Cricetulus griseus: one gene and its partners. The protein of the gene in region 2 interacts with the protein of the main gene of each other region in a biochemical or structural test. Links are inferred from orthologs where the notes say so. Each region holds a gene or a part of one and is shown on either strand. Other genes may lie near its edges.

The links.
Region 1: the proteins of Lrrk1 (region 2) and Nudt16l1 form a complex in vitro, tested with the Homo sapiens proteins (2 studies listed by BioGRID and IntAct, with this or other methods). The link is inferred for Cricetulus griseus from reciprocal best matches to the Homo sapiens genes LRRK1 and NUDT16L1.
Region 3: the proteins of Lrrk1 (region 2) and Vgll4 form a complex in vitro, tested with the Homo sapiens proteins (2 studies listed by BioGRID and IntAct, with this or other methods). The link is inferred for Cricetulus griseus from reciprocal best matches to the Homo sapiens genes LRRK1 and VGLL4.

Annotation. Positions count from the first base shown.
Region 1 is NC_048600.1:41,753,641-41,757,892, reverse strand, and holds Nudt16l1 (tudor-interacting repair regulator protein), read left to right. Parts: upstream 1-1,309; 5' UTR 1,310-1,787; coding exon 1,788-2,018; intron 2,019-2,102; coding exon 2,103-2,363; coding exon of another isoform or gene 2,364-2,405; exon of another isoform or gene 2,406-2,440; intron 2,441-2,878; coding exon 2,879-3,100; 3' UTR 3,101-3,691; downstream 3,692-4,252. UniProt on the Homo sapiens protein: Key regulator of TP53BP1 required to stabilize TP53BP1 and regulate its recruitment to chromatin.
Region 2 is NC_048596.1:131,008,356-131,011,998, forward strand, and holds part of Lrrk1 (leucine-rich repeat serine/threonine-protein kinase 1), read left to right. Parts: intron 1-2,217; coding exon 2,218-3,059; intron 3,060-3,626; coding exon 3,627-3,643.
Region 3 is NC_048601.1:29,921,206-29,925,461, forward strand, and holds the start of Vgll4 (transcription cofactor vestigial-like protein 4), read left to right. Parts: upstream 1-1,313; 5' UTR 1,314-1,757; coding exon 1,758-1,839; intron 1,840-4,256. UniProt on the Homo sapiens protein: May act as a specific coactivator for the mammalian TEFs.

The DNA of each region.
Region 1 (4,252 bases), on a different chromosome or scaffold from region 2:
TCTCATTGGTTAATTGTCTAAGGCTCCTCTCACAGTCCACCTATAAGCAGGGTCCCAGTGATACTTGGTCTTTAAGGCAAAGTGTCCATGGGTGGCCCCAGGGCAAAGGTGCCTAGGCAGTGAGGCTCCCCTGGTGAGCGGGTACAGAGGTGCCCTGCCACACTCACCTAGGTAACAACCTGTAGCAATGCATGGAGCCCCCTTTTAGGTTGCTTGAGCTCTGGTTCTGCCTCTGCCCCTTTGTCGCAGTTGCTGGCCTGGTCTCTGTGAGCCTGTGAGCAGAGCCTTGCCTGCACATCCATCTCCCCTCCTGCTGAACACACATGCAGTCACTTCAGCATGTGCATGCCCGCCCACCCCTCACCTGCCAACACCCTGGCCTCTGGCCATGGTACTGCTGCCAGTACTTTGAAAGATGGGATGCAGACTACAGACTCACGTGTCTCAGATTCACATGTGCTATCATTTGATGTGCTCTGATTGGCTAGTTTTTGGTTTGTTTTTACTGTATATTTATAGTAATAAAATCATGCAGCAATATTCTACGTGTGCCTTTGTTCAGGCACAGCACTGTGGGCAGGCAGTTGGTCCTTGATGTAGTGGCAGGACACTGTTTTCTGGTAGCTTACCTCTCGTGAGCAATTGGTGAATCTCAGCCTCCTGGGCAGGTTGTCCCAGTTCTTACACCCACCCCAGCTCTTCTGATATCTGCTGAGCACTAACCATGTGTCAAGAGGAGAACATGCTTAAATCTTTTTCATTAATTTATTTTTTATATTCCAATCTCAGTTCTCCCTCCCACCTCTTCTGCTCCCCCTACTCCCTCCCCCACCTCCCATCTGCTCCTCAGAGAGGATAAGGTCTCCCCTAGGAAGTCTACTAAGTCTGATCCATCATGTAGTTGAGGCAGGACCAAGGCATCTCTCCATCCCCACAACCCTGTGTCTAGGCTGGGCAAGGTATCTCTCCATAAAGATTGGGCTCTACTAAGTCACTTTGTGCATTAGTGTCAGAACTTGGACCCACTGCCAGTGGCCTCATATATTGTCCCAGTCACACCATTGTCACCTATATTAAGGGAGTCTAGTGCAGTCTAATGCTGGTTCCCCATTTGTCAGACCAGAGTCAGTGATCTCTCACTAGCTCGGGTCAGCTGATTCTGTGGGTTTCCCCATCGTCTTGACTCCTTTGTTCATATTATTGCTCCTCCCTCTCTTCAATTGTACTCCAGGAGCCTGGCCCAATGGTTAGTTGTGGATTTCAGCATCTGCTTCCATCTGTTTCTGGAGGAGGGTTCTAGCTTCTCTGAGGTTGTGGATTGTAGGCTGGGTATCTTTTGCTTTATGTCTGGTATCCACTTAGGAGTAGGTACTATATTTGTCTTTCTAGTTTTGGGTTACCTCACTCAGGTTTGGTTTTTCTAGTTCTGTCCGATGTTTAAATCTTTAAAGGCGTGGTTTCATAGGACAAATGGTGGAGCTACGAGCTCAGGGTCGAGGCTCGGGAAAATCTGCACCCTCAGAGATGAGGTGAAAATTGAGAGTTGCAGTGGTCCTCTCAGGGTTGTCCGGGACTCAGAGATGGCACGTATTGATGCTCATTGTACCTCCCTCTGATGACCTGGCTTCACGCGGTGCATCTTGGGAATTGTAGTTTTCTGGTCGGTGGGAGAGGTCTCCTATGCAGCTTGGAGGGTGGCAAACTCCACCCTCCCACCAGGGACTCCAGTCATCTCTGGGTTCAACCTCAGGCTCTCAGGATTGGTGGGGGCGGGCCTATGCACGTGGATGCACGTGGATTGGGCCTGTGTGTCGTGGGCGGGGTCGCGCATGCTCATTTGGGCGGTGGGCCTGGAGCGTATCAAGATGTCGACCGCGACGGTTCCAGAGCTAAAGCAGATCAGCCGGGAGGAAGCAATGCGCTTGGGGCCCGGCTGGAGCCACTCGTGCCACGCCATGCTGTATGCCGCGAACCCGGGGCAGCTCTTCGGTCGTATTCCCATGCGATTTTCAGTGCTGGTGAGGATCTGGGTGGGTGAGCGGGCGGACACAGGCTTGGGGTGCCCTGTGGACCCCACGTCATGATCTGACTTAACCTTGCAGATGCAGATGCGCTTCGACGGGCTGCTGGGCTTCCCCGGGGGTTTTGTGGACCGGCGCTTCTGGTCGCTAGAGGACGGCTTGAACCGGGTGCTAGGCCTGGGCTTGGGCGGCCTGCGCCTTACCGAAGCTGACTACCTGAGCTCACATCTGACTGAGGGTCCACAACGCGTGGTGGCACATCTATATGCACGGCAGCTGACACTGGAGCAGCTGCATGCTGTGGAGATCAGTGCAGTGCACTCGCGGGACCACGGTCTGGAGGTGGGACCACTGCCTGGGGACCGCCCCCATCCCCACTCCTGAGGTTTGGCTCTGGCACCACAGAAGGCACCGATGTGGTAACAAGTGCCCCTCAGGGTCCTCACCCTGGCCATGCTGAGTGGGAAGAGAGACTTGGGTTCTGGGTCTGGGGCTGTTTACATTTGCCTTGCTGCCTGCCATTGTCAATCCTGGGAGTGGAGCATGGGATCACTAGCATAAAGGGATGTCAGGAACTACTTGGGAAATTGAGGAAAGACCCAAAAGGCTTGGTTGTAGGGCTTGGGGTTGTCTCCTGAGAGGTAATGTAAAAAGCTTTTGGGGTTTGTGGATCCTCTGGTCTAAGGGATTTGGAGTGAGGCAAGGTATCATGGGTGCTGGCCAACAGGGTGGGGAGTTCATAGGCTTTACTGCTACCAGCCTTGCCTGGGTCTCCCCATCTCTTTGACAAACATCTCTGCCAGGGTCCTACCTCTATAAGGAGAGCCCAGTCCCACCCCATACCCTCTGTCCCACAGGTGCTGGGCCTTGTACGCGTCCCACTGTACACCCAGAAGGATCGAGTAGGCGGCTTTCCTAACTTCCTGAGCAATGCCTTCGTCAGCACTGCCAAGTACCAGCTCCTATTTGCCCTTAAGGTACTCAACATGATGCCCTCGGAAAAGCTGGCAGAGGCCTTGGCCTCGGCCACAGAAAAACAGAAGAAGGCCCTAGAAAAGCTGCTCCCAGCCTCATCCTGAGGAGGTTCCTGTGCGGTTCTTGCCCTCCCTTAGCTGTCTCTGCCCACAGGCCCTGGGATTCCCGAGAAGCGTGCCTTCTAGCTTGTTTGGTTTTGCACCCTTTCTGACTGCAAGGGACAAGCAGGCAGCTGTTCATCTTTATTGTCCCAAGCAGTCCCTGGGACCTAGCTACTCTCTCAGGTTGTTCAGTGGGGTAGCTTGGGCCTGACTTTTCAAGCTGAGTATGCCGTCACCCATCCCAGGGCTCAGACTGTCCTGTGTGAGTCTGTTTGTGACTGCTGGAGACCCAGGTAGAGCCCACTTTTCCAAGGCAACGACTTGATGGTACATGGTTCCTGGACTGGTCAGGGATTTCATTCAATGGAGGTGACCCGTGTTAGATCACTCCTTCCCTTGGCCCAGCTTGCAATAGGCTGTTCATTTGGGTTGTTGCTGGATTTCTGTTAGATTTTTCTTTCTTGGTGTGTGAACTGTGGGTTGGTTTCAGAGTGGCTATGCCCCACATGACTTGGTTCTCCCCAGCAGGGCTTTGGCTCAACTCTGTGGAATTGAGGAAGCAAGAAGACAATAAAGCCATTCCTCTGATGCTTACGTTTGCTTCTGGGTGGCATGGGTCCAAGAACATGACCAGCTTGAACCCTGAGGGCAACCAATCTGGCTAGTAGCTTGAGTTCAGACCTTGTGGTGGTAGCATAAATGAAGCACAGATTTCATGTGCAGAGGTACAACAGCACCACCACAGAATAGGAATGCCACTGCTGGCTGACTTCCAGCCTGTCCAGAAATAGTGATTTTAGGGCTTAGAACAGCCACCAAGCAGAGGAGAGATCTTCGAGCAAGGGATGTGGAGATCAGAAGGGGCTATAGATGGGTTATTAGGGTCTACTGGTGACAGCCAGGAATACATGTCTTATGATCATAAATGAGCCCCCACCAACTTACAAGAATTTTATTTTCCAACAAACAGCACATTTTCTAGGCACCCAGACCTAACCTTAAGACCAAACAAACCTCAGTATGGCACCTGCATGTGCAGGGACACACACTCTTCACAGTTCCGACTGGGCCAGAGCTGCCTACTCGCTTGGGGCCTTTTCACCAGGACCTGGGAGCCAGGCCCTTCATCCTGCCTCAGGGCTGGCCCAAGCTGCC
Region 2 (3,643 bases):
CTACTTTCTGGGGACAGTGATTTGAGCTGGGGACAGTGGAGACACACCTTCCTGGGCCACCTTGCTGCCCAGGTCTCAGTCAACTTTACAGGTGACCATCATTGCCCAGCACTGCCCAACACTGCCCAGAATTGCCCAGTGCTGCCCAGCATTGCCCAACACTTCCCAACGCTGGCCAGCATTGCCCAGAAGACCTACTTCCTCACCCTCCTAACCCATACACTCACTGTATTCCCCACCCCTAAGCTAAGCCATCTCCACCACGTGCTGGCATTGAATCCAGCCTCACCAGGGCTGGCCAGCCCATCACTGCACTGGTCCTGGGCCTTCTCCTTCAAACAGCAGATACAGGAGCTTCACCTTCCCAGCCTTGTCCAGGAGCGTCCCTCCTGATGAACTGCCGGGATCCAGAGCCATGACCTCTCCTCTGAGAAGTTGTGTGGCATTGCCTACTCTCCCATTCTCTGCTGCCCTCCCTGGATCCAGAAAGGCTATGAGGGGCCTGAGGATGCAACACATGCTCTCCCCCAGTGCATAAAGAGAACTTCCTTGCACCACTTTTTAAAATGTGCTGGCCATCCTTATGTGATCTCCATCTGTCTATATGCAATGGGGGCGATAGTAGGAATGAATTAGTTTCTGATCTTATGGAGCCCAGAGTTCCAGGCTGTGCACTTGGTAACTAAGTATTACTGTGACTTCCTGATAGTTCCCAAATCTGTGGGCTCTTCTCTCTGTGCTGTTCTAGCTTCATTTCTTTAGAAAAGGAAAAAGAAGACTTGCAAAATAGGTATGAAATGACCCTTAGAGTCATTTATGGCCATTGCCCCAGAGGCAGGCCTGGGCAGCTGGGAACTCCCTGCACCAGAGCCAGGGGGAACTGGACACAAAGCATTATTGAAGGACCCCGATGGCCAGAGCCCTAGCCAGTGTGCACGTCCTGCCCTAGCAGAGAGAATAAAGCGGGCTCTGTGTGAGCCTCCTGTGCAGGGTGCCTGCCCCTGTGGAGGTCGTCCTGCAGAGGCCACACAGAGCAGACCCATGCGTTCTTGCACAAGCTCGCTCACATCCTGCCAGACGGACGTGGTGTTCCCCACGCTGGCCAACACAGCCAGGATCCAGAAAGACTTATGGCCTGTTTGCTCTGGCTGCTTTATTGACCTAAATCCTCAAGGTGGAGTTTGAGAAACTTTCTTAGGGCTCTCTACTGTGGATGTTGAGTGAGAGGCCACTCACTCCACTACCCTGACCAGACAGCCCACACTGCTATACACACACACACACACACACACACACACACACACTCCCAACAAAGTGGCTTTCTGCCATTCCCCCTGGTTGGAACAAGGCTGGACCCTGTTCTGTCCTGAACTCTAACTTGGTTCTGAGGCACTTTACATGCCCCACTGCACTCTGTGTCTGCTCAGGGAGATAACCTGGGAAGCCTGCATTTGGCTTTCTGCCTGCAACTTTGACCTCTGTCTAGTGACCTCTGGTGGGTAGCTACAGAGGAAGCCATGCTAGTGTCAGCATAGGCTTTTCAGAGTGTGTGTGAGCTCATGGGGCCAAGACACTCTCTCTGTGTGTGGAGAGTTAAGTTAGAAGCTGTTTCTTCTGGAAACATACGATGTCTACTTGATGGGAACAGTGGAGTCGAGGGTTGCAGAGATGAATGAGACTTAATCCTTCCTAGGCCAGTACAGTGCCAAGGTGGCAGTGGTGGGCACAGAGATCTGGGCTCTGCTTTGCTGGAGCACTCTACCTAGTGTGGGCAGAGTTCCTCATGCCTATCACAGCTGTCATGTTAATAAGATGTTTACAATAGGGAAAACATTCTGCCCTGCCTTCCAGTGAGGCCTTCATGGCATTCAGGAAAAGCAGCTCCCTGCTGCTCATGCAGCAAGGGATCAATCCCAGGTAGTGGCACCCTTGCCGGATGCCCTCAGCACTGTGGACACAGTTCCTCCCTGGCACACCCCTTGCCTTGCAACACCAAGGATGTATGGTGGCTCTGGTGGGGCCAAGCTACATCTTTTCTGGACCTAGGCCTGAGACTCCCGAACAGATCAGGATTTCAAAGCCCTTACTTCTCTGAGGCATTAAGAGAGATCATGTGCCCACTTGAGGCACACATGAAGATGGGTCTAGTGCCTGTGGTTTTTCTCCCAGAATGTGTGACCTGAAGGAGCTTCATGTGTCCCTGTCCCCTCCCCACAGAACTCCTTTCTGGTGCTGGCTGGCCTGGCTGATGGACTTGTGGCTGTGTTTCCGGTGGTACGGGGCACCCCAAAAGAAAGCTGTTCCTACTTGTGCTCGCACACAGCCAACAGGTCCAAGTTCTGTATCCCAGATGAAGATGCACGGCAGAACCCCTACCCAGTGAAGGCGATGGAAGTGGTCAACAGTGGGTCTGAGGTCTGGTACAGCAATGGCCCTGGCCTCCTCATCATCGACTGCACAGTCCTGGATATCAGCAGGCGACTGGAGCCCTTTGCAGCCCCTTCCACGGTCACATCAATTGTGTGCAGCTCAGACTGCAGAGGGGAGGAGGTGGTCTGGTGCCTAGATGACAAGGCCAATTCCTTAGTCATGTACCACTCAGCCACCTACCAGCTGTGTGCCCGGTACTTCTGTGGGGACCCCAGTCCTCTCAGGGACACGTTTCCTGTGCAGCCCTCAGTCCCAGAAGCCCCAGGCAGTCACATAGTCACCTCAAAGGAGCCAGAGGAAGAGTGCATTGCAGACGTGAGCATCATGTACAGTGAGGAGCTGGGCATGCAGATCCTGACCCACCAGGACTCACTCACTGACTACTGCTCCATGTCCTCCTACTCCTCGTCCCCACCCCACCGAGATCCCAGGTCCCCGTCCAGTCTGCCCAGCTCCCTGACCAGCTATTCCAGTGTGCCTTTCTCCACTGATTATGAAGATCCAGACAGGCCCAGCGTCACTTCTGACAGATCTGAGCCTGACCTGACCCCCATGGATGGGGAGACGTTCAACCAACACCTGCAGGCTGTGAAGGTTCTTGCTGTCAAAGACCTCATTTGGGTCCCCAGGTAAGTGTTTTTGAGTGGGGGTGCCATTTCTGAGCTGTCCAGTGCTCTTGTTTTGGGGCCGAAGTGAGTGGAACCCATGGCTTCTTGAAAGATTTGCAAATCCATCTGGGCAGTTCTCCCAAGAAGTCTTTGCCATTTGCTTTTAGAATTAGGAGTGATAGCTGGGCAGTGGTGGTGTACGCCTTTAATCCCAGCACTCCTCTGGAGGCAGAGACAGGAGAATCTGTGTGAGTTCAAGGCCAGCCTGGTCTACAGGGCCAGTGCCAGGACAGGCTCCAAAGCTACACAGAGAAACCCTGTCTCAAAAGAAAAAAAAAAAAAAGAATTGGGAGTGATCTCCAAGCAAATATAAGAAGCTCACCTGTCCATCAGAAAATTCAAGGTGCCCCCAAAACAAGAACCATGCTCAGGTTTCCTATAGAAGGTCTTTCCCTGTGTCACACCGCCTCCACTCACTCTCTTCACAAAAACTTCAGGCTCTGTACCTACCTGCTCCGTGGCCCTATACCCACTGGGGAGTCCAGCTTCTTCAACACACTTTTACCCTTCTTGGCTTTGTCTTCTTAGGCATGGAGGGGATGTCA
Region 3 (4,256 bases), on a different chromosome or scaffold from region 2:
CAAACAGAAAACTGTATACATAATAAATAAATAAATCTTAAAAAAAAAAGTTCTTCATTTCAAAGTAAGTGAATGCAATGAAGTCTTTTGGAGGTGGGATGGGTTTTACTCTGTAGCCCAGATAAGTCTTGGAACTCATGGTTGGTCCCCTGCCTCAGTCTCTGATGGGCTAGAATTACATAGAGGCTCACACCACAGTGCCAGGTGGAGGTTGGAATTCCTTAAGGCAGGTTCTGTTTTCTTTTTAGATGAAGCTCAGTGCTGCTTTGTATTTGAGCTTCTTGGAGTGCTTTGAAAGTTTTCATGATTGATTACAACCTTCCAGATGAGTTCGGGAAGCAACTGGGCTTTTAAAAATTATTATTTAAGCTGGGCAGTGGTGGGAGGGACAGGCAGGTGGATCTCTGTGAGTTTGGGGGCAGCCTGGTTTACAGAGGGAGTTACAGTGCAACCAAGACTACACAGAAAAACCCTGCCACCCCCCATCGAAAATTATTATTTATTTTGTGTATGGATATTTTTCCTTGGTGTATGTCTGTGCACCCTGTGCATGCAGTGCCCTTGGAGGCCAGAAGAGGGGCGTCAGATCTGCTGGAACTGGAGTTTGTGAGTGTTGGGTGCTGAAATTCCGTCCTCTGCAAAAGCTGCCAGTGCTCTTAGCCACTCAGCCATCTCTTCAGATAGTGTCCCCCACCCACCGTGTGTGTGTGTGTGTGTGTGTGTGTGTGTGTGTGTGTGTGTGTGTGTGTGTGTGTGTGTGTGTGTGTGTGTGTCGGGGGGCTGGGTCTATAGACTACTCACTTAGTCGGGGCCCCAGTTTCCTCTTCTGTGGAAAGATTCGTCTCTGGCGCCCTGTCTTTTATCTGTGCAGCTACAGGGCTTAGGAAGGAAGTTACATGTACATTGACTTTGAAAGTGTAAACACTCACTATAGCCCTGGACATAGTAAAACCATCTTAGAAAGAAACAAAGAAACCTTGTACTGATCAGAACACTCCCCAGTGGAAGCCCTAGGTTCCCAGTCCCTGGAATGAAGTCACCCAAAAGTTAAATTTCATGTAGTTCGCTTCCGCGGCAGATTTTTTTTTTTTAACTTTGTGCTTAGCAAAACAAAACAAAACACTGCAAAACTTGCTGGGTTTTCCTCCATGGACTCTGGCAGCCTTTGGCTCCTAAGCGGAAAGACTCCTTGCCCCCTGCGCCTCACTTTCCCCTCCTCTTTCTGCTTCCTGCTAACTCTGCAAGCGCCCAGATCCTGAGCCTGTGCCGAGGCTCCAGTGAGCATGCTCGGCCCCCACCTCCCCAAGCAGAGGAAGCTGGTTTACATACGAGTCATACCAAGCATAGCCAGCATGTCAGAGCAGTCAGCTTGCAGCGGGCTGTGAGGGAGAGTGCCTTTGTCCTAAGAAATGTGCTTCGTGGTTTTCTTTTTTACTGCTTTCTTTTTAAACCCTTAAGGCAGGCTTTGGAAGACTGCTGACATGATTTTTTAAAGCCGAGTAGAGGACGCAATACAGACACTGCCTTCCAATAAGCCCTTGACGGGGTTTTGTTTGAGTCTGATTTTTTTTGTGTGTGTGTGTGCGTGATCTTTTTAAAAAACTTTTACATACTTTGTTTTGATCTTGTGAGGCTGGGCCTCTGTCTTCCTGAAGTTTTAGAAGAGCCTGGAGCTACTCAGCTAAGGCTGAATTTTGAAACTTTCTCTTCGGGGGTGAAAGCAAAGAACTGCTTTTCTTTGCTAGCCGAACAGATAAATGCTGTTTATGAAGATGGACCTGTTGAACTACCAGTACTTGGACAAGATGAACAACAACATCGGTGTTCTGTGCTATGAAGGTAGATGCTCCAGAATGGACTTCTTTTTTACATTTGTAACGGCCCCTCCTCCTTGGGGGGGGGGTATGATCAGCTTCTGAACATTTCTTGTCTTTCTTGGGATGGTGGAGTGCCTAGAGAGAGAGAGTTGTGTGCCATTTCAGGACAGTTTCCTGGTGCCTGGCTGGAGAGTGGCAGCCGGGAAGGGCTGGAGGGGACACATTGTTACAAGTTTGCTTCCAGTGTACTGACAAGATCTGACAAGATTGTTACACTTTAAATTCTTTTCTTTTTTGATTTTGTTGCCATTTTATGTAGGGGAGGAACTTATAGGAACAAGAAGCTAAGCATGTGGGTGTTAGAGCAGAGGGGAGGGGCTCTGAGACGTATTTTTAAATACATCACCGTGTACAGTATTCTGTGTGTACTCTTGCTCTGGATTTTGTGTGGTGAACGGACAACAACAAAAAGCCACAATGAGTTTTTGTTTTCCGGGGCCATTGTCTCAGACATTGAGGATTTTTTTTTTTTCTTGTGGAGTTTGTGGGGCTGGCAAGGCCTGGTGTCAGGGAGCCCAGGCCTGCTCTTTGTCTGCCGCCCCATTTCCTGTGACAGTGAGACTGGCTCCCTCCAACCCCCAGCCCCAGGCGATTACACAACCCTGTTGCCAAAAGGCTAAAGAAAGTGGAAAATGCCCCCATCCCTAGGTTCTTCTTGCTCATCCCCTCCCCTTCTTCTGGACATCCCCTGGAGTGGGGAAGAAGAGAAAACCTCAGTTCCATCTTTTGAAATTTTACCTACGTGCCATTTGAGTCCAGGGTAATGGCCTGGTTGAGCTTCAGGACTGGCAGGGCAGGGAGAGATCGAGGGCTGCCAGGGAGTCTTTCCCGGTAAAAGCATGTAGGAATCAGGGCACATTTTCCTTCTAGGGGCCCAGGCTCTGTGTTTTCTCTCACGGTAAACTGAGTGGTTGTTTGCTTTTTCATGGACAGATGTTAAAGTGGGGTGCAGAGTCAGTTATTTTTGTGTAAAAGTTTCAGATCTGTTTCTTAAAGCAGTTGAAAACACACCCTTTCTCTTTCAAACTTGTTTTAAAATTAACTCTATGGATATAAAGAATATAATATTTAAAGTTTTTTGTTTTCATTGTTGTTGCTGTTGTTTTATTTTGTTCTAAAATAAGATACCACTTTACTTTGACAAGTTTCCTCTACATGTAAGGAAACTAGACTCCCTCATCTCAAAGGCTGGATTTTCAGAAGCGGTTTCTGGTGGGATTCATGTATTGTCTTTAAAAAACAGCTGCACCCCAACCCCAACAAAAGATGAAAACTTTTTAATGTGATTTCTTTGTCATCAAGTAATCTGATATTTTTAAAAAAACAAAACAGTGAAGTGCACTGAAGCTGCCAGGACACTGGGACCAGGTTTGTTCCTTGTGTCTAGGGAGGAAGTTCAGCGGCTCCCCCAGGTGGGCGTGCGGTTCTGTGAAAAGTACGTATGCCAGCAGTTAGTTGTCTTGTTTCCTTCAGTGTTTTGAAGAACAGACTTTGATTTTGAGAGCCGAGTGGATGTGTGGGATCATAGGCTATCGTCTGTTTAGTTTAAACATCTGCTCCCGTTTTCCTTATTATGAAAGGTAATATTATTCTAACACCAAAATAAATACACAGGAAATGAAGAAAAGTACAGCAAAACCAGAGTGTCGTTTGGAGCCGGTTGTTTACGTCCTCTGGTTTCCTCACTGTAAACACCGCACACATCTGGTCTCAGAGCCTTGTGGAAGGATGGGTGTAAATCATACACGGAATTCTCTCCTGTAAGGAGTGAGACAGAGGCAGGCCTGTGGCACATGCCTGCAATCCCAGAACTGAGAAGGCAGAGGCAGGTGGATCTCAGTGAGCCTGGTCTACTTAGTGAGTTCCAGCACAGCCAGGGCTACATAGGGAGACCCTGTCTCAAACAAAAAAACAAACCAAAAAGGAAAGTTGATAGAGTTTCAACGAAGTGTGCTGTGATAGTTTGCACTGCACACATCAGCCCTCTAGAGTGCCAGGGCAGTTGGTTATGTGGAACATGAGTGGATGGGAGTAGGTGGCATTTGATCTATTCTGGGGCACAGGCCAGCCTCCTGCCTGTTAAGGGGACACACTCAAGTGTTTACCTTGTTGGCTTTAGAAGTGAAGGTGTAGGTGGGGGAGCTTTGCTTGCCCAGGTTGCTTCTACCACAGCTTTGGTTGTGTCGGGTGAACGGTGTCCTCACCTTCTCCCTTCTTTCAGGAGCTCCCATGAAGATGGGTCAGCACACAAGGACTCTTAGATCTTACTTTGGAACCCACTCTAGCTTGTCCTCCCTCTTTGAGTTCTTGGGCTGGAACCCACATTACCTTCTGCGAAGTCCACCTTCTCCCACCCAGCCCCACTATAGCCCAAACCTG